Linked DNA regions of Mus musculus: all the other regions are reported to be linked to region 1. Evidence: microRNA targets listed by miRTarBase, many of them from high-throughput screens and not tested one by one. Region 1 holds a microRNA gene; each other region holds the end of a gene's coding sequence.
The links. The annotated mature microRNA mmu-miR-486a-5p reads UCCUGUACUGAGCUGCCCCGAG and lies in region 1 at 2,424-2,445, shown strand. An mRNA with a match to its seed (bases 2 to 7 or 8) in the 3' UTR can be bound and repressed. Matches are read on the target gene's strand: a 7mer-m8 pairs with bases 2 to 8, a 7mer-A1 pairs with bases 2 to 7 and ends in A, and an 8mer does both.

Region 1 (7,000 bases):
TTCCAGGAGAGCAGGTGACGGAGGAACAATTCACAGATGAACAGGGCAACATTGTTACCAAGAAGGTAAGAGCAGAGCCTCTGCATTGAGGAGAAACTGGGTGAGACTAAAGAAGAAAAGTGGAGGGGTTCAGCTTAGAGCAGCTTCTTACTGCTGCCCAAACAGGGTGGGCAGGCTGTTCCTCCCCCCCACCTCAGAGCTTTCGGGGTAACTCAGGAGAGCTGAGACCTCTGGGTCCTCTACAATCTGAGGGCCTTGTCACCTTAAAGCTTAACTCAACATGAAGAGGTCCAGCTGCCCATTTCCAGCTCCCATGAAACACACAGCCCTAGTCCTGTGAAGCCTGGCCATAGAAGGAGCTGTTAGAAAACAGGGACCTGTTCTTGGGGGCTCCCTTAGAAGGGCTGTAAGAACTCATCAAACTGGCAGCAGACCTCCACATGATAAGCTTGTGCTGCTTGGCGGACATTGCCCCATGAGGCAATGGGAGAGAGCAGGACATGGCGCGTGCGCGCCTGTGCCACTCACTAGGACCACTGTTCACATAAGGAATGATGGCCCCTGTCTGTCCTTGCCCCTCCCTAAAGGCCTAAGCCATGGTTTATGTTCACCTCCCATTCTGGATAAATGGACACAGAGAAGGTGAGTAGAGCAGACGCACATGGATAGAAGGGTTGCCTGCCTCTGTCCTTAGGCACTGTAGAGGCACGATAGTCAGACCGAACTTCCATCCATTCCAAGGAACAGAGTGGGATGGCGGAGGGCTGAGGCAGCGCTGCGCGTGCCCAAGCCAATGTTTGCCGAAGCCCTGCCAGCCGTGCTCCCCAGTCCAAGCCCCACCGACATTCCCCATAGATGACAGCAGAGAAAGGCTTCTTCTTGGCTCCGGGGGACAGGAAGCCATGGCCTCTCCTCCTGGTGCCTCTGCTGGAGCCCTGTTCTTCTCAAATGTTGTCCTGACGACTTGACCATCTCTCCTTCTCTTCCCCTCTCTTTCCAGATCATTCGCAAAGTCGTCCGGCAGGTAGACTCGTCTGGTGCCATCGACACCCAGCAGCACGAGGAGGTGATTGTCGAGGGTCCCCTGGCAGACCCTGGGGATCTGGAAGCAGATATTGAGTCCTTTATGAAACTTACTAAGGTACCAAGGCACTGCAGGCCCCTGGAGGCCGCAGCAAGTTCACCTCCGCCTCACCTCTACTTTGCTCCAGGTTGCAATGCTGCCCCTGGCTACCTTTCTGGCGGACAGATGGTGTTCCCACCTCCTCCTTCTCCTCCTCCTCCTCCTCCTCCTCCTCCTCCTCCTCCTCCTCCTCCTCCTCCTCCTCCTCCTCCTCCTACTCCTCTCTGTCCTGACCCTTCTCACTTCCTGCCCGAGCTTGCTCATCTGCCTGTGTGATTTCCTACTTTCTGTCTCTGATGCTGTCTCCAGGTGGAGCTAAGAGGGAGTGGACTCCAGCCGGACCTGATAGAGGGCAGGAAGGGGGCTCAGATAGTGAAGCGGGCCAGCCTGAAAAGGGGCAAGCAGTGACCTCTCCTCAAGTAGCCCCTTGGGAGGTAACAGTGGCTTTCTCGTCCTTGCTGGCATGGTCCTTGATGAGGTAGCTGCTTGCTGCTCCCAACCCACCCCATCCTTGCACTACTAGCTCAGTTCAGAGTTAAAACCAGACTCTCAGAATCCCACTCCTCAAACTAGCCACTGTCTCTGCCCCTCCACGTCCTCTTCAGACCTGTGCCTCTCTGTTGACACCAGTCTGCTGGAGAGTACACAAAATCAGGGGCTTGGGTTTATTTTGCTTATTTATATTTTCTTTTGTCTTTTTTGGCTGTGTTAGGGGGGTGGGACCAGAGATAGGCATTCTGAGCCACACCTTCAGTCCCTGTGCAATTTAGTTATAAACAGAGTCTCTCTATATAGCCCTGGCTGTCCTGGAACTTGCTAAATAGACCAGGCTGGCCTTGAACCCACAGAGATCCAGCTGCCTCTGTACTGGAATTAAAGGCATGCAGCACCATGCCTGACTGTACCAGTATAATGTTAAAATAGTGCTTTGAAGTAGTGCTCAAAACACAGTCTGAGCCTATCTCACTACACATGGTCAGAAAGCACGCCAGACATAAACCTTAAGGCTCACTGGAGTCCTAACCTGCCATAGCTTTAATTCGATTACTGTTCTGAGAACAAGGCTGCTCGCTTGATGTCTGAGAAGGAACTAAGTTAGCAGACCCAAGGCATAGGTAGAATCTTCCCTGGAAGTGAGGAAGGTCTTCATGGCTAACGGCTGTACTAGTGTGTGAGGGGTGTGCGTCAGGGCGGGGGCCAAGGATGGGTGGGCCAGGCTACGCAACGAAGATCTTCAGCAGGCTGCAGTGCCCAAGAGCCAGCCTCAGCAGCCAGCTCTGATCTCGCCCTCCCTGAGGGGTCCTGTACTGAGCTGCCCCGAGGTCCTTCACTGTGCTCAGCTCGGGGCAGCTCAGTACAGGATGCGTCAGGGTGGGAGACAACGGGGAACAAGCCAGCATCACAGCCTCTGCCCATGCACAGCACTAACTGGGTTATTGCCCCTTCCCCCACCCACCCCCACCCCTGAACTCTCAGGGCCCAGCTCCAGAGCCGAGCAGCAGGCAGTCACTGGTTTTCTGCCTTCTGCAAAAAGCAGGGCCCGCGCAGCCTCCTGGGCCGGCAGAAGTGCTGACTTGATGCTTCCCAACATATCTCAGCACTTGGACAATATGAGGCTGGGCAGAGCCCGATAGGAGAGTAAAATTAGCCCTGACTCCTCAGCAGCTGTAAGGAGGTCACAGTGTTAACCCCAGCACTGCCAGGAGGGTCCTGCATGTCTGCTGATTTAAAGGCCAAGACTCGCTCTTGATCCCGGCTGGGAAACAACCCAAAGGTTCGAGTCATTTTTAAAGGAGGGAGGGAGGGAGAATGTCTTCTTCAGCCCTATCTTTCTTACAGTGGCAGCCGGACTTGCACTTGTGTTTGTTGGCTGAGACTTTATCCAGGGCCTCAATGGGAGGCAGCAACGGCAAGGCAGCTGAAGGACAGGGCAGAAGTAGAGTGTTTCATTAATTTACTGTACCCGGCATGCCCCTGCCCCAACACCCCCCCACACACACACACACTACACACATACACACACACACACACACAACACACTACATATACACACACTACACACACACAACACAACACACACACATACACATACTAAATACACAACACAACACACATACACACACACAGGCACAACACACTTACACACACACACACACACACACACCACACACACACTACATATACACACACTACACACACACAACACAACACACATACTAAATACATAACACAACACACATACACACACACATACACACACAGGCACAACACACTTACATACACACACACATACACTCTCTCACATACACACTACAGAGAGAGAGAAAGGGAGAAAGGGAAGGAGGGGGATATTTGCCACCAGACCTCATGAGTTTAGGAGTCAGGAATTCTGAGCAGCCTGGTTTGGACAGTACTTAGCCTCTGCCAACAAAAGACAGAGGGTGGGTGACTGGGGTAGTGACTGGGCAGAAGAGCGTGCAGTGGCAGGCTCCTGCCCAGGTCTGACCAGGTTGTGGAGCAGCAAGAGTGGCCCATCCTCAGTAAGAAGTTACCAAAGGGCTTCAGGCTCCGTCCCCACCACCACTGCCCCCAACCCCCGCCCCACAGGCAGTCCAGCCGATCCTTGTCATTCCTCTTCCGATTTGCCTACGCCCTAAACCTTTCTTGAAATCCAAAAATGAGCACCCAGTCCTTCCGTGCTCAGTCATTCCCAGACACACAGACAAAGGTGACCACAAAGTGATGGGCATGTGCCGTCCCCAGCTCCACCTTTTCCTGGGTCTCATGCTGCCCTTTATTTTTAATCTATTTAACGACACAGTGCATTTCCAAGTTCTTCATCGTTTGTTTCACTGTTTGTGTGGACGTTCTGTCTGTCCGGGGAAGATGAGTTCTAAGTCTTCCTGAGGCACTGTGTTGATGGCAATGGGGTGAGCACGAGTGAATGGCCTGCATACATGCGATGTGCCACCCTCAAAAAGAAATACACACGCAGCATGCTGATGGAGTCGCTGGCTGAGGAAAGCATGACCTTGCATGTCCCTTGGGAGCGGTGATTCAGTATTCGCTAATCCCACGCTCATACTTTATAGACCAGGACTACTGTGAATAATGAAAAGCATCTTATATGTTCCAAGTGTAAAAACTAGCCTTGGAGTCCAGATTCAAGACTTGGCTCCCCCATTCTGGTCCCAAATGGTATGACCTTAAGTCACTCAACTATCCCCAGCTTTGTACGCCTCAAGGAAAGATGGAGATAGTCTCTCCTGGATATGTGTTACTTATCAATTTAAAAAATGCGTGCAGAACAGGGTGTGGCCCAGCGGCAGAGTGCATGCTCAGCCTGCCTGAAACCCCAGGTTCCAGCCCCAGCGTGGGTGTGGCAGGGGAGTGGGGGCGCAAATAGAAACTATGAGAGGTGTCGTGTCGTGAGGAGTAAAGGTGTATACACTCTGGCGTCCCATCAGTGACAGGTGTTGTTTGTAGTGTGACTCAGGGCAAGTCAATTGACTTTCCTACGCCTCAGCGTTTCCACCCACGCGTCGCAATAATGCCAGCACGTTCCTTGTGGAACTGCTGTACGGTAGCAGATGCTCTTATTTTTGAGGAAGGGCTTTACAGAGTGCGAGGGTCGACAGTGCTCTTTCTCAGGGCGTAGTCCATATCCTGCTAAGAAGATACAGACCCCCGGGGCCGGGGCATAGAAGCTTGCAGGCCTGCGAGAGACTGAGCTGCTGTTCTCGGCTGCAGTTCTGCTCAGTTAAAACCCAGGATGTCAGTATCCGTCACTATGCCGTCCCTGGGATTAGATGCATGGTGAAAGTCGAGTTGTTATGCCGGATTTTGACCCTTCTCCTCAAACTCCTCTCACGTCGTCTGGCATAGTACAAGAATCATATCTAAAAGCAGGCTAAAGTGGAGGATGAGGAGCATTTGTTTAGAGGACTCTACACTCTGGTGAGCAAGGCATTGCTGAGCTTTGTTCTGATCCTGCCAGTCTCCCCTTGCACTGGAAAGTCCTAGAGTGAAGAAGCCAGAAAATTGCTGTTTTCTGTCTGAGAGGTCAAGGCTCATTGGCACTGGCGGGTCTTGTACTGTGCCTGAGTGTTAAGGTACCAGGACTGCTGGGAAAACTGGATGCAGCGAGCAGCTAAGGGCACTGGAGCATCGGCTATGGTGCAGCCCTGGGGGTACCAGGAGTCTGGCTGGGAAGGGTACTAGTTCTTGATACCCTCTGTGTGTGCATGGCTGTTCCCTCCAGGACTCTCCCAGGAGCTGAGGAAGGAGGAGCCCTGTGATTATATGCATGTTGAAAGTCTGTTTTCCTTTTAGAGAACACTTTCCACACAAACAGTGTGCTTCAGAGACTTCCATTAGTTCTGACGATAGACTGTTCTGAAAAATCTAGCGTTTCAGTGGGAGGAAGTAGGAAGGCATGTTTTGTTTCGCTTTGTTTTAAGCTAGAATCAGTTATCCTATGCAGCCACTTGAAGGAGGACATCAGAGTAGGAAGCGAAGGGTCACTGGTGAGAGCCACGGGCATAGATGTGGGGGCAGGTGCCCGAGCATGGGGAGAAAACGAGGATCCTGGCTGCGAAGGCGAAGGGGCTCTGAGCACTTTGGGGTGTCATCTCCTAAGCTTTGAGAGGACTGGCCTTTTTCAGAGAGTGGCTTAGGGAGGAGGCCCGGTGGCACTGATGGCATGGAGAAATCCTGGCTGTAGCCTGAAGGCTCGTGTTACTCCACCCCTGCGCCACCAGCTGCTCCAGCTGGACCTGTGTCTGTTCCACTTAGGTCTTAGCCTACCACTCACCTCTAAAAAGGGGGGGAGGGGGTGCTTACTCCGGAGTGATCTCTGAAGCTTGAGCCCTCTCAAGGACCTGGCCGTAAGCAGGTGGGAACTCAGCCTGTGTATCTAGAATCTCGGCTTTCATGTTGTCTCTCTGAGGAATGCTTAATTCTGGGGTAGGCACTGTAGGGAATTTGGAGAAGGGGCCCCCACCCTCCAGTGCTCATAATCCAGCCAGAGCAACTGCGAAGCTGGTTAGAAAAATAAATAAACAACAAGTTAGGTGCAGCACTTTCCAAGAGCCAGATACTCACAAGTTAAGTCCAGCATGCTCCCTGGATGCTCCCTGACCCCTCCGTCCTCCACGGACCCGTCTCAGCACATGCACACATCACAGTGATGGGTCCTACTGCGGCCCCATCTCACAAGCAGGGCAAACAGAGCTGAAGAGCAGCCGAGTACGTTTGACCAAAGCTAGGCAGCCAGTAAAGACAGAAGCAGGGTTCGAACCTGAACAGTCTAGCTTCAGAATTCCTGCTCTTGACCCCTCTGCCCCTTATGTGTCTCTTAGCCAATGGGTAGTCGTGGGAAAGGACAGCCTGAAGTGAAGGGCAAGTCTGAGGCAGGAACAGAAGTTGAGGAGAGAAGATGGCAGCGTTGGGGAGGGGGCATATGAGCACACAGCCTAGCAATAGGACTAGAGGAGAAGGTAGCCTAGGAAGGGCAGAATCTCATCTCTCAAATGGCAGCTCTCTTCTGCCCAGCAAGAATGCCTGACTTTTAATCTTCACAGCTGCAGGCAAAACATTTGGCATTGTCCCCCACATACCCCCGAGGGAACCATGGAGATGAGTCATGTTGGTTGTGCTCAATATACCCACGGCTCTGTCACCTGTAGAGCTTGGGACAGCTCTATGCCTGGGAACAGCTCTGCCTCAGAATGACTTCCAACCTTTACGCCTCTTCCCAGAGCACCGTCAACTCTCTTCATCTCAGTGGCCTTCCCAGCCAGGCATGGTAGATCACATCTGTCACCCCATCACTCAGGATGCTGAGACTGGAGGATTGCCATGAAGTCAGAGCCAATC
Region 2 (7,166 bases), not on the chromosome of region 1:
GAACCCACCCAGTCCATCACCCACCCACCTACCCATTACTCTAAACTTCCAGGAAAGGAACGACCCTCTCTCTACCCACCCAACAGGCTCTTCTTCCGGAGGCATTACCCGGTCAGCAGTGTGATTTTCTGTGCTTTGGATCCACAAGACAGGAAGTAAGAGTTTTGCATTCTTATAACTGAAAAGTATACCTCTTTTATCCTTTAATTTAAAAAAAAAAAAGCTAACGTAAAATTCTTCTCCCCTTCAATTCTCAAGGTGGATCAAAGATGGCCCTTCTTCTAAGTAAGTTGCCAGCCTTTCTCTATTTGAAAATCACAGTGCACAGCTGACCTCACTTCTAGATTTGCAAAGAAGGACTTATTTAAAAGATCAGACAAAGCAAAGCAGTCATTGTCGGTGGGATCATTTGTTTGACTTAACTGAAAGTAGAAAATTAGAGAGTAAGAAGTGTTCTGATATCAGAGCCCACACCTAGACGGTGTTGGCTTGTCCATTGTCGTGGGCTGGAGGAGCCCTGTCTATATTGTATCTGTAGTGTTCTTTACACACTGAGACAGATTTCTTAGTCCAGCCATTTAAGAAGGTGCTGGTACTGCTGAAAACCCCAGATCTGCTTGTGTGGGCAGAGGTGAAGCCCTTTGGCAACATTTCCCAATCTGGAGGGAGCCTGCTTTGTTCCTTTGGCCAGCGAGTTCTTGTTCCCTCTGCTTTGCACTGCTATCAAGGTGGTCAGAGGAGCCTGATCCTCGCCCTCCCCACGCACAGAGGCTTCACTGTCTGTGGCTGTCAGACTAGCTCCTTTTACATGGTCCACACTGCTGATCGCACATGTTCATCAGGTGCCTCCTTCCCGGCAGGCCCATTTCAGAGTTTCTCCTGCTCTGGAGAACAGGTCAGTAGTAGTAGTAGACAGCCACAACTTCGGAAGCGATCACAGTTGCACAGGCCTGAGATGAGTTCTTGGCATGTTAGCTTTCTTGTTTGGGGTATCTAGTCTGGACTGGGCTGGGAGCTTCTAGGGTTTTCCTGGAGGCCTAAAGTCCTGACCTTCCATGGGAGACCCTGATTTTACATAGCCAGCTGGAGCTCAGGACTCCATAGAAGGTGTCTGGAGGACCCCTAGACCTCCAGCAGAGGTGCTAAGGAGCAAGCAGAGCCTCAGTTTTGATTCAAGCATCCTTCTAGGCTCAGTGGTCAGGTAGTAGACAGGTCTCTAAGCTAGTGCTTGGCACATCGTAACCTGCAGGGGCAGTCTGTACTGTTCCCAGGTTGCTATCATGAGGAAGAGAAAGCCTGCATGCATGCATGGTGCTTGCTGCACACGGTACTGGCTCCTCTGACTAGACTTGTCTCTTGCAGAGTCTTTGGATTTGTGGCCCGGAAACAGGGCAGTGCTACAGACAACGTATGCCACCTGTTTGCAGAGCATGACCCCGAGCAACCTGCCAGTGCCATTGTCAACTTTGTGTCAAAGGTCATGATTGGCTCCCCTAAGAAGATCTGAGCCCTTCCTAGCCAAACCTGCCAGATGCCTCATAGGGCCCTCAACATGGCAGTGGGGTGAGGCAGGGCCCCCATTCGTACCAGATTGACAATCTTCACATTCCAGACTCAACAAGAGGAGAAGAATATGACAACTCTTCAAACCAAGAACAAACAATGTCACCACTGACTGGCCTTAAAGAAGCTGCTCTTCCGACACACCTATATAGTCAGGCGCATTTTGAGTGGATGGATCTTGGCCCGGGAAATGCCTCATCAGGGCCCCAAGGACAAGGGCTGTACAAGGAGGGAGCATGGAAGACAAGGCTGTCCCCAGTCCCTGGCTCATTAGCATCTGTGTGGAGGAAGAGCATCTGTCCTGCTTGACAGGGACTGAGTAGCCATGGCACCCACTTGTCAGCAGAAATGCTCCCTCATCTTGTCTTTCTACATCAGTGATGGAACTGAGGAGGAGATGCATGGTCAGTGAAGGTCTGAGCAGGTTGGAACATGGCGGGGACCTAAGTCAGGGGCAGCGGAAGGGATGTGAGGTGAGGGCAGTGGAGAAAGCCTCTGGGGTCAGGGAGGACCACGTGGGGTCTGAGAGCCACTGCTGGGGGGTAAGGACTCTGTGATTCTGCTCTCAGGTTGTCACCTGGGCTGTGGAGAGCCTAGAGGACCTGGAGAGGAAAATGAGAAGATGGAATCAAAAATGCCATTTTATATAATATATATTTTACTTATGCCAAATTATTTATAACCGCTTGCCATTGCCATACCGTACCCATGTCAAATGCTGCAGCCGACTAAGCTGTGATTACTAGGAGGCTTGTCCCCTTGTAGACACACCAGAGACAGCTGGCCCGTCAGCTGGAAGGGGAACAGTGGTCTCAGGGTGATGCCACGAGATCCTTCTCCTGTAGTACTGCCAAATGGATTTGCCTTAAGCAGCCTCCCTACCCTCTGCCTGGCGCAGCAACATGTCTTGTCCAGATGCAGATGGTTTTGTTCCTGATGGAAACGTCTGGGAGACGTGGAAGACTAAGACACTGACGTCAGTCTCAGCCTCTTCTGCAGGACTGGCTGGGCCATGTAGAGGTCTGCGTCATCTAAAGCACACGTGGCCTTTTACCGTGATGCTCCTGTGGTACCTGCAGCTTCCGAGGGGAACTTCTGTGGGGTCCAGAGGGGGAGAAGGGATGAAGGGAAAGATCAAGAACTCCAGCACTCACGGCTACGTTTGATTTGCTGAGTCATCTTAGTTACTGAGTCAGGTGTGATGGTTCTTGCTAAGATGGGCATCCCCCTGCTGCAGGCTTCCTGTGCCCAGAGATTCGGAAGAATGCGGTAAGCCCGTCCTTCCCAGGGTGGAGGTGGAGGAGGGCTCCGGCTCCGTGGAGACAAAGCCAGGGTCTCCTCAGTCAGAACCTTCTACCCCAGGAAGGCTCTGAGAATTCCTGGCCTGGCCTGAAATTCCCACTCTTTGCCTTCTAAAATCCAGACCTAGCTTCCACATTTCACGTCCAGGACAGGCTACAGTTGTTAAGCTGGGATTTTTGTGGTGAATTCTGTTTCAAAAGGGGCAGAGATGTAACTATGTGTAGAATTGGGATCAACTGTCAGGATGAGTGTGTGTGTGTGTGTGTGTGTGTGTGTGTGTGTGTGTGTGTACAGGTGGACTATTCCATTTTTGCTCATGTGTATGTCTGTGTGTATACAGGTGGACCATTCCACTTTTTGCTCATGTATGTCTGTGTGTATACAGGTGGACCATTCCACTTTTTGCTCATGTATGTCTGTGTGTATACAGGTGGACTATTCCACTTTTTAGCTCCTATTGATGCACCAAAAGCAAGTGCCTCATTTCTGTGCCAAATGTTTGCCTTGGTCTTTAAGGACCTCCTTCGTGGACACTCTGATGTGCCTGTTAGAGGGAATGTGCCACCATTCCCTAGAGGCCCCATGTCTTCCACAGAGGCTTCTAGTGTTCCAGTTACTCATATGCAGCTAAACTCCAGATGGGGGCAGGGGTGGGGCTGAAGTTTGTGCTCTAAGAAGTATCACATCCTATGATTATAAGTTTATATGCAGATGTGGCCCAGAGATCACAGCCCCGCACTCTTTTCCTCCCGCTGGAGGGGGGTGGGGGTGGGGGGAGAGGGCCTAATTAGAAATCAGCTGGGCTCTGCTGAAGCCCAGCTTTCCGGTGAATTGAATGCCACAAAGGTTGGCATGGAATGCATCCAAGAAGCCACACGAATGTGCTTTCAAAACTGACCGGTGAGGTATGATTTTTACTCAAGATAAAAGTAGTCAAGGGTATCAATGGATCTGATCTGAGGAAACACAGGAAGACAGCTCTACAACTGTCTACAACAGCTGGTAGGGCAAGGCTCTGTCTTCTGTGTGTGACGCGTGTATTGAACAGAACAAGAACAGTATCATAGACTATACCGTGTGCTCAGAAACACTGCGAAAGGAGTATTGCCCAGGCTTTTGCTACAAGGCCATCGGTTGGGCACAAGTTAGTACATTATTCTATGAGTAAATTCAATGATGTCCCACCACTTCCAATAGATAGCCAGGGTCCCATTAACCTTCTCATTAACGGTCTTATAGTTTCCAGTGTTGGGCTGTATCCATGTTAAAAGCCACACTGCATTTATCTTCAGTGTCAAAGACATTGTAATGCCGCCATATCTGTCTTATCTATTAGCGCAGTTTTCACTATTCTATATTGTAAAGAATATATATCCAGTATGTAAATGAGTGTTCTATAAACCTTTTGTATAGGCATTTCCTCTGCTCTTTAAATATCAGCCTTATTCAGAGTATAATAAAAATTATGACCTTGGTAAGTCTAATGAAGCATTTTTTTAAGTCTTTGTTGTACGTGTGTGTGTGTGCCCATACCTTTGCTCCTGTGTTTGTGAGTATGCGAGCACATGTGCCTGCCATGCGTAAAGATTAGATGACAACCTTGGTTGTTGGTCCTTAACTCTCACCTTGTTTGAAATAGTCTCTTACTGTCTCACACATATGCCAGGCTAGTTGTTCCAGAGACTTCTTGGGTTTCTGTCCCCTCCACCTCACATTTGAGGGAACACTGCGGTTATGGACAAACAACACCACACCAGCTTTACGTGGATTCTGGGTATTTGAAGTCACGTGGTCAAGCTTATGTGACACGTATTCTCCCCCCCTTACTGATCCATTCATCTTGCTCTGAACAGTCACTTTTGTACCCCAGACTGTATGTGCATTGTACGTGTGTGTGTGTGTGTGTGTGTGTGTGTGTGTGTGTGTGTGTGTGTGTGTGCACCTGTGTACTGCTGTGTCTGACTGCCAGGGTTTGAGTTTGGGTTTTTGTTTTTTCTGATGTCTGTTTTATGGGTCACGGTGTTCATAACTGCCTATTTACATGTTTTGCTTTTGGGAACATACTGTAGGTTGGCTATCAAAGACCTTGAAAAAATTATATTCAAATTATCTTTAAATCGCCAAGCCAGGTATGGGGGCACACACTTGCAATACCAGCACTTGGGAGACAGAGGAAGAACGATTGATGCATTCTCCAGATCAGCCAGTGGTGCACAGCAAGACACCCCCCCAAAACAAACAAACAAACAAACAAAACAAAACAAAAAACAAAAAAACAGTAGGGCTGGAAAGATGGCTCAGTGGTTATACACACTGGCTGCTTTTCCAAAGGACCTGAGTTCAATTCCCAGCACCCACATTGGCAGCTCACAGTTGTCTGTAATTCCAGTTTTAGGGGATTGGATATCCTTACGCAGACATACATGTAGGCAAACCACCAATGTACATAAAATAAAAATAATAACAAAAAGTGAAACTATAATCTTGGGAACCCAGAGGCTAATACAGGAATTTGCCGTTAGTTTAAGGCAGGTGTGGACTTGCATAATGAATGCCAGGCTAGCCTGAGTTACAAAGTGGGGCACTCTCAAATCACAGCTAATTTTGAAAAATGTAACAGCAGTGCCCTGGCAAGGTAGCTTAGGGAAAAACCTTTGCCGCACAAGGCCTGGGTTCAGTTCGTGGACCCTGCGGTCCGCAGGAGAGCCAAACCCTGAAGTTTCCTCTGACCTCCATACACAGGCTTCCCAAAGTGTATCCAGGGCTGGAGAGACGGCTCAGCGGTTAGGAACACTGACTGTTCTTCCAGAGGTCCTGCGTTCAATTCCCAGCAACCACATGGTGGCTCACAACCATCTGTAATGGGATCTGTTGCCCTCTTCTGATGTGTCTAAGGACAGCAACAGTGTACTCACATACATAAATAAAATCTTACAAAAAATAATAACATTTAAAAACTAATATCTGAGTGCGGGGATGGTGACTGCCCTGGGGTAGTTTTGATGTACTGCGTTCTTACCTCCGCTCCATTCTAGCACCATGAAAGGACTCTTGCCATCTCTGTCTACCTGCAGTCTGAACATTCTAAGCCTGGAGCAACCAGAACGCCCAGTACTACGTACCCAGTACTATGTGTACCCAGTATTACATAGCCCTCACCTTAGCTTTCCTCCACCTCCCTTTGAGGATCTGCTGGCTTTTTGCTCCCTTGAGCTGACCCCATCTATGTGAGTCGGGGTCAGGACCAAGGTCCATCTGCTAACCTACAGGGTCTAAACCCAAAAGGATAGGCTATATCAGGCCCAGCCTGATTATGGACATATAATAAACACAGCTAGCAGCAGTTCTGTGGCCCCCATCTCCTGTGTTGTTGGCCTCTGAGGCTTCTAATGACATTGATCTCATACCAACTTCCCACGTACTGCAGGAAGGTGGGTTTGACATCGATGCAAGTGTTTTATTTCAGAGCCGAGAGCAGACAATTGCTGGTTCAATCTCAACTGGAAGCTACCTGTGGATCCCCGAGCCAGTCACTGCCTGTCCTTTAACAGGATCCCAACAGGGTGTGAGCATGAGCAGCACAGATGTAAAGGTCATTTATGGAATGTGATGTCTAGGCACCCTTGGGTTGGTGACAACAGCTGGCCTTGTAGAACCAACACACATGTTTCTAAGCCCACACAGAAGATCTAATGACTGAGGCGAGGGCTCAGTAGACAGGAGGACGCTGCCGTTCATCCCTCAGCACTTCTTGGGCTGGATGCCTGTACCCACCTTCTGGATCCTCAGTCCAGTGTGCAGTAGACATTCAGACACTCCATGCTGAGGACACAGGTCATAGCCTCTGTGTTTCATCCCAGAGACTCGGGGTCACAGGAAGATCTCACTGCCTTGGAAAATCTCTTGGAGATCGAATGGAGGATTCTTGGGCAGTGTGGAGAGCCGTGCCTCGAGCAATCTCGTGCGTGCCATGAGCAATCGCCATTATAAGATGGCGCTGGCTTCCACTGTGCCTAACTAGTAAGCAAGCCTTATGCACAAGTGCAAGAGTGATAACGATCTTGTCACGGTTTTGTTGGGTTCTGAGCTTACAAACCAACCAGAGCATAAACACAAGTCCACAGCAGGTGGCAACACCAAATAAACCTACCCCCACCCATTCCTTAAAATAAGAAAATGCAGATGAAATCCAGGAGGAGAGGCCCTCTGTCAGTGACAGGTCCACTCGTGTCGAGTTGATCCTGAGAACAGCTGCTCTCAGGGCCTCAAGGGTCTCATCGAATCTTTCAGACGATGACCTA
Region 3 (7,166 bases), not on the chromosome of region 1:
ATTCTCCACAGGAAGGTATTTCTAGTCTTATGTCCATTGGTAGCCAAACGGAACTTCATAAAAACACTTCCACAACTCCAACTTTGGTTTAATATACAACTTTGATATATCTCATTAATGCACACATCAAGAGGCTAACAAATTCATTAATATTCAAGGTCATCCAAAATTAACATTTTATTACAATAAACTGTAAAATCCCAGTGGGAAAATTTTACTTGAACCAAATTTCATCTCTATTCTAGCACTTTCAAAACTAATTCTCCCATACAAACTCCACAAATAGACACACGCACGGGCGCGCACACGTGTGCACACACACACACACACACACACACACAATGTGCACACTTCCAAACTCAATAGAAAATGAGGACCATTTAATGGAGACAGAAAATAGATACTAAAATGCTGTTTTTAAGTAGGAGTATCATTTAGAAAACTACACAGAACAGGTGGAAAATCTCAAAAGTATACATAACAGCCAGTAAGTAAACACATCTAAACATTAAGAATTTTACTGTAAGCTAAACCACTACAAGCCTTGCTCCATTCTGTATAATCTAACCATTGTGACAGATGAGGTTCCACATGAGAAGACATAAATTATTTTTAATCTTAAAAAACAAAAAATATGAATCCTTGTTAAACATTTCATTTAAAAATATGCAGCTTTATTTTAAATTTAAAATTCAGTATGCTCAAATATGGCAGTTAATGTCTCCCACATATGTAAAAGTTTAAGGTAACACATTTTTTTCATAAATTATAAAATGTTTTCAGCTAAATGTTTCATGAAAATTCTCAAATGACTGTCAAGAGTTTGTCTTGTTGTTAGCCCACCAGAATACTCAACATTCAGAGCTAAAAGGTAACAATTTGTGAAATCTTTAAGATTCTTGTGTGATACAAGTCACAGAAGCACACATATAAAGACAGCTGAGTGACAGATAAATCAGTAGTAGTTCCTGCTTTTACCTAGGGGGCAAGGTAGGTACGCATTTGCTGAGCAAGTTTGCAAAATGCAAGAGGACTCAAAGGGTGACCAAATTCTCTACTCACAGTGCGTCACGCACCACGCTTCAAAGAGAAATACCCACACTGAGCTTGCTCTGCTAAACCAACGTAACTTGTATTTACTGATTCCCCTACCATCCTCACACCAACAATAAACATTCAAATAGGCCCAGAGAGCTGACAAGGTCTCTCTATAATGCACATATCCCATACCTGCTACACTAAAAAGTGATCCATTCAGTGTTCATTTCCTAAAAACTAAGCTAAAAGGCTTTGGAGACATACACAGTACAGGTTTTAGTTTTAAAGAGAAAATGTACATGAGTAAACAGAAAAATGATTGCTTAGTCACTAAAACATACTAATACTGGGTATGCCCCCCCCCCCCAAGGACATGAGAATTGTGATGTTATATTCACAAAGTGTTACAGAGCAACTACATTTAGAGTCAGAGGACTGTTACCGATGACACTATCCTGCCATCTTCACACTGTTTAAAGCTTGCTTACATCCTGATACCTGTTGTTGGAAGATGGGAAAGCAGCTATAGCGTATGCATAAAAACATATTCTAACAGTAAAAGGAACTATACTAGAAGGCTTCCTGTTGCAATGTAATTTCATAGGAAAAATCAGCCTCTTGACTCCTAAAGTGGTCCATTACACTGTGTACAGATTTTAGGGACTGCTCTCTGTACCACATTGAACTGGGTACTCTTGTTTCTACTCAGCAACATTTCTCTCTACCCTAGCAACAAGAATGTTGAATAAAATCCACACACAAGCCACTTAAGACTAAGCTTTAGATGTACCACAAATTATCTAGCAAAGTATACAGGAACTCGAAGTTTCACGTTAGAAGTAAATCAACTGGGCTTAAGGTCTGATTCTCCGGGAGCCCTCAGAAGCCTGCATGTTAAACACTGGTGAGTTTTAAATTCTCAATGGAAATGGTGATGGCATTCACTGAACCAAGTTGGCTTAAATTACAGCACAATGGGGGACATGATCTAAAAGCAAAATGTCAGGAAATTCCTTTTTTTCAAATATCATCAAAATGTCATATAAATCAAAATACCTTTATATTCAAGTTTTCACCAAACTAAGAATTCTAAAGAAAATGTGTGACTACATATAATCTTCATATTTCTTTACATAATTGCATGCTACTCGGTTTGTATTTTTAAATGGGTCACAGAGAAACTATCAACTTCATGTAACATTAAGACTCCACATTGACATTAATGGTCTGCTTACTTCTAAAACATCACAAGTTATCTTACTGTTATATTGAAAGGACTCCTTAGCCTTTAAGAATATTAGAAAGGAGATAGTATATTTGAGCCTACTACTCTGGACAAGTCCCGATGAAACCTCCCATGTGCTGATGGCCAACTGCAGTGTTAAAAAAAACAGAAAGCCACAGAACAGACCTGAGACATCAAGCCCGTTCTTGGGGTTAGGGCTATCTTCAGACATCTGGCTTATAAGAAGAGAAATAAGCACCGTTTTCCAAGAACCTTGAACTTTTTACTGTGCCTGGAATAACTTATTAAGTGATGACTAAGGCTTAAAGTGCTCTTCTTAACCATGAGTAGACAGGTATGTGTCTACCAAGATGACAGAAAGATGCTTTGCTTGGAAGGATAGCAAGGAGGGGGAAAAATAGAAAAATGCACAGGAACTTTGTAATCATATGTGGCTGCCCATTACTGAACATTTTAATGGATTTAAGCAATTTGAATTATAAATACTCTCATTTAATAAAACACCCACACAATGACAAGAATGAGACTTTAATCAGTTTTAAGTGGAGTTTATAACACTAAGAGATAAAGGGTTGTTAACAAACACAGTAACAAATGGACATCTGATTGGTATGAGGCATTATCCTGTACACGTCATATTTGTGTATCCTCAGTGCATAGCATTTACACACAGAGCCACTGCTGCACAGCACAAGAGTATCTGAAGAGGCTGAATCGGGGTAAGGCTGTTTTACAGACTGGATGGTTTTAGTATATATATTCTATATGAAAACAGATCGAACTTTTGAGCTGGCAGGTAGAAGGCAACTCTGCCGAATACTAGAGTAAAAGCCCCCCGTTTAGTGCACAGATCCACCCCTTCCGTCTGCATGCACGACACATTAACAGTATTTAAAGGTAAACGAGGCACTTTGTGGCAACCACAGCCATCGTTATGAACATATTGCACAAATTTTCTAAAACTAAACATGTAACTTGTAACCTACTTTTATTTTTAAAGCTGAAACATTTGATGCTGCCGGTAAACTCCACTTAAGTTTATAACCTGTGCCACAGCAAAGAATGGTGACGCTATTTAATTCAACTACCCTTTTACAATTATGGCAAAAATGTCCAAGAGGAATTACAGAGGACTTGGGATGTACGGGGCCCAACTGTAAGCCTTCTTAAAGGTGATGCCTTCAAGTCATTTCAGACACATAAGCTGCTGCACATCCAAGAGTCTAAGAAAGCATTCCAGAAACACGGGAGAGATCACCTACAGAATGCACTTCAGGCTAATCGTGAATACTGTCATAAAGAAAGTTTGAATTAGGACTCAAAACCCTTTCAGTCATAGCAATTCTTGTCAAATTCTATGGGGATGGTAACTGAAATAAAGTAAGGAGAGTATGTATAATATATATATTTATATATATATAATATATATATAATGCCATTTTTCCATTTCCAATGACTACACCATAAAATGTAAGCAAGGCTTCTCAAAAACACTGAAACATTCAAAATCAAAACCCTCATTCAGACCTTCACATTCCAAAGGAAAAATATTAACAGTGCAACAGCCCATTGTAATGTCATTATTCATGACCTGGCCCTCTGTGTTACATATTGGAACAATACAAGTTATAGTTTAGCATGCTGTGCCCAAAACTAACAAAGAACAGTGTTTATCACTATCTTCAAAACATCAACAGCTGCTTTGCATTTTAGTCAGCCACTTTCAGCTTTTAGGAAAGACAAGGGGGTGTACAGATTTCCATGGTGAGATCTCAGGAAAAGTTGTCTCTGACTTTATCAACAGTCAGTCAATATTCATGTATCAATGTTTAAATATAAATGTGTAAATCCTAAGAGCTTTGTTACAATTTTAAAAACTTTATTGGTTGAGTGAAACTGATGAGGTATGGAAAATACATCAACATTATTTTCTAAGAATATTTTAGATGGCGTTCTGCCTAATCTACTTACCATCAAACTATAAATGCTTCTCTAGTGGGTCCTATGCAATCTGTACTTGTAAATTAACTAGGTCAGACCACAGCTAGTGAACAATTTCAGCACCAATAAGTTATTGAAAATGGGACTTCACACCATTAAGAAATCTAATAATGGCTGGATATTCAAATGTCAAGGTCAAGATATAATTTGAAAGACACCAAATTCCCGAGGGGTTGGGAGGAGATCCTTTGTAATAGCATCTTCACATTACCATTACGATAGTAGTTGTACTCTTGCTTTAAATTGTATGCAGTCTGGGCATATCAAACATAGAATGATATTTAAGAAGTAAAATTGAAGCCCTAATCCCAACTCTACCACTATAACGAAGTGACTCAACACTGCACATTTAAGAAGATCTATTCTTCCAATAGCAAGTCGATAAAGCATCTGTAGGACAATTTCTACTGAAAAACTTCAATGCCTTATTATTCGTGCAGTGCTGTAAATTTACTGCAACTCTAATTTCTTTTTTAACACAAACAATGACTTTTTTAATATACACATTATATGTATTCAGTATTCAAGTAAAATTCCCTAACAGTTAATGACATTTAAAAAAAATGTGCAAAACTGCAAAACTCATTGTAATAGAATGTGTAAGGTCAAAGGGGCTGAACGTCTGACAGCCACTGGACTGAGGACGCGCATCATCAATCTCTAGGAAAAAAAAAAAACAAAACCTGCTTACTGTTGAATCTCAAGTTGAAATTTCCTGTGAAGAATTATAAAATATTTAAGGAGAAAAACAAACTGGCAGCCAGCACATGAAGCATCCACAGTAGGTATATGATTGAAAATTAATAAAAATAAAGGTAAGGTGTTGACTGATGTAGGGACTAATAGCATCTGACTCTTAGCACTGGCCTTGATTACATAGGAGATGGAGCAGTCATTACAACTGAGAAAGCATACTGAATAAATCATTGTCAAATTTTCTGTTTCCAGCCCATCCTTTGTTGAAAGCCTCCACATTTGTATGGTTAAGTCATTGCTGCTGTGTCTTTTATCTATCTATGACCACTTTTTTTATATCCCTTCCTTTGTGGATTCTTAAGATGCTGTAGATGGTTCATTCCTGTACCCCACTACAAATATACTCACTCTAGCTGCCTTGTCTAGCACCAATATGCTCTTTAAAATGCACAAACAAACAGCAGGACAGCAGCCAATCTCTCGGATGTCCAGATTAGTAAGTGGAGCATGCTAAAGAAAGGTGCATCTAAGGAGCTGGAGATGGTGTATGGTCCAGAGCCCAGGTAGAAACATTCCTTTCTGAGCATTCCCTCCATTCCCAACCCAAGTGCATGCATTAGAATCTAACAAAACCCTGCAGAAACTTCCTTAGCCAACTGCAAACTTATCTGTTGCCACAAGTGCAAAGGGGTAGGACGTGAACCCGGGAATCAGAGCTCTTCAGCCACTTCAGCTGGTGACAGAAAATAAAGGAAAAACTCCTGCGTATACACATCAGCCTGTCTCCACTTTTTATAAAACTGGAATAAAATGGGAAAGTGCCATCTTTTATTTATCCTAATTGAATTTTAAATGTCCTTTTGACACAAAAAGGTATATACATGACACAGCTACACAACCTTTTTTTAACTGGACAACAAGTGTCAAAACCCTGTGGATGTATAGGGTAAAACAAGATTGGTCAGGAGAAGAGAATTGTTCCTATAACTGCAATCTGACACAATGTCCTATTGCCATTTAAAAAAAAAAAAAAAAAAAAAAGGTCCATTTCAGTTTATTCAAGTTTTTTTTTTTTCATGGTATTTTATCCCTCTTGATAAGAAAAAAAAAATCAGACTTTTGTAATTTGTGAATGCTGATCTTCATCAAAAGGTTCATTCTCTGGATCAGAGTCAGTGGTGTCAGAATATCTATAATGATCAGGTTCATTGTCACTAACATCTGGAGTCACAGAAGTTGAACTGCTAGCCTCTGGATTTGATGGCTCCTCTACTGTTTTTGTAAAGTATAGTTTCACCTAGAGAAAGAAAGTTTAAGATGAAAATGAACAATTAGAATGAGTTCTGTATTAGCAAAGACATTCTGTTTTGCAGATTTACTTGAAAGTACTATAACAAAATGAATTCTGAAGGGCACTGCTTTTCAGATGACCTGAAGATTGACTACTGTGCTCTCAAAAGACACAATGATGAGTTGAAAGCTATTTTTAAAATACATCAGCCATAAGCACTGTATAATTCTATAAAAGTGCAAACTGAAGGCAATGAACTCACTAAATCACAAAATTCAATTTACAAGTGCTTATGTTTCAAAAACATTTCTCTTGCAATCTCTGAGACAACTCTATGTTTACATTAGTGACACTACACAATACTGATTAATAAGGTCAACTAGCTCTACAACAGTCATCTGACGAGAGAATGGTGCAAGCTAACAGAGCACTCTGTGCTGTGAGGATTGATCAGTAGCCTTTACATGCATGGCTGCAGTTCTTAGGTTATTTCCATTTTAAAAGGTAAGAAACAAAAACCCTGAAGTCTAGGCCACATGCTAAAGGACAATCTCTAGTGAACAATTGGCAGAGACCAGGTTTAAATCATATCTTTGCTCTTTTCCCATTATGCAAGTCATTATAAGTTTTTCTTATAACCAACATTTGCTTTAAAAATCCCCCTTCAAAGTTAGTAATTTACCACTGCTCCTTGCCACTACAGCCCCACGGCCTCTCCTCTCCCTAGTTTCTGAGCCAGTCTCAATTTAGGAAGTGAACTGGAAGGTTAAAAAGCTCAGATTATACCTTCTCTGTGTTCAGCACTCCACACTGCTACATCAAGACTGGGTTCCTGTGACTCAGTGGAAATGACTTCAGCCACTGAATATACCAAGCTCATTCATGCCTCAGATT

Region 2: the mRNA of Tns3 is a reported target of mmu-miR-486a-5p. Seed matches in the 3' UTR shown: 7mer-m8 at 3,154-3,160.
Region 3: the mRNA of Pten is a reported target of mmu-miR-486a-5p. Seed matches in the 3' UTR shown: 8mer at 5,362-5,369 and 8mer at 2,907-2,914.

The regions. Positions count from the first base shown.
Region 1 is chr8:23,140,164-23,147,163 of GRCm38, forward strand. Mir486 (microRNA 486) reads left to right here and starts at 2,392; the gene lies at 2,392-2,519. It overlaps Ank1 (ankyrin 1, erythroid), which reads left to right. Exons shown (of 44, transcript NM_001110783.3): 41 at 1-65; 42 at 1,001-1,066; 43 at 1,433-1,557. The coding sequence ends at 1,531. Gm15816 (predicted gene 15816) reads right to left here. Exons shown (of 6, transcript NR_169137.1): 3 at 2,961-3,041; 4 at 662-1,102; 5 at 1-80. It overlaps Mir3107 (microRNA 3107), which reads right to left and starts at 2,499; the gene lies at 2,410-2,499.
Region 2 is chr11:8,428,835-8,436,000 of GRCm38, reverse strand. It overlaps Tns3 (tensin 3), which reads left to right. Exons shown (of 31, transcript NM_001083587.1): 29 at 87-155; 30 at 259-285; 31 at 1,363-4,349. The coding sequence ends at 1,507. Among named protein-coding and RNA genes, the nearest start is that of Tns3, 230 kb to the left of the region's middle.
Region 3 is chr19:32,818,955-32,826,120 of GRCm38, reverse strand. It overlaps Pten (phosphatase and tensin homolog), which reads right to left. Exons shown (of 9, transcript NM_008960.2): 9 at 1-6,278. The coding sequence ends at 6,093. Among named protein-coding and RNA genes, the nearest start is that of Pten, 65 kb to the right of the region's middle.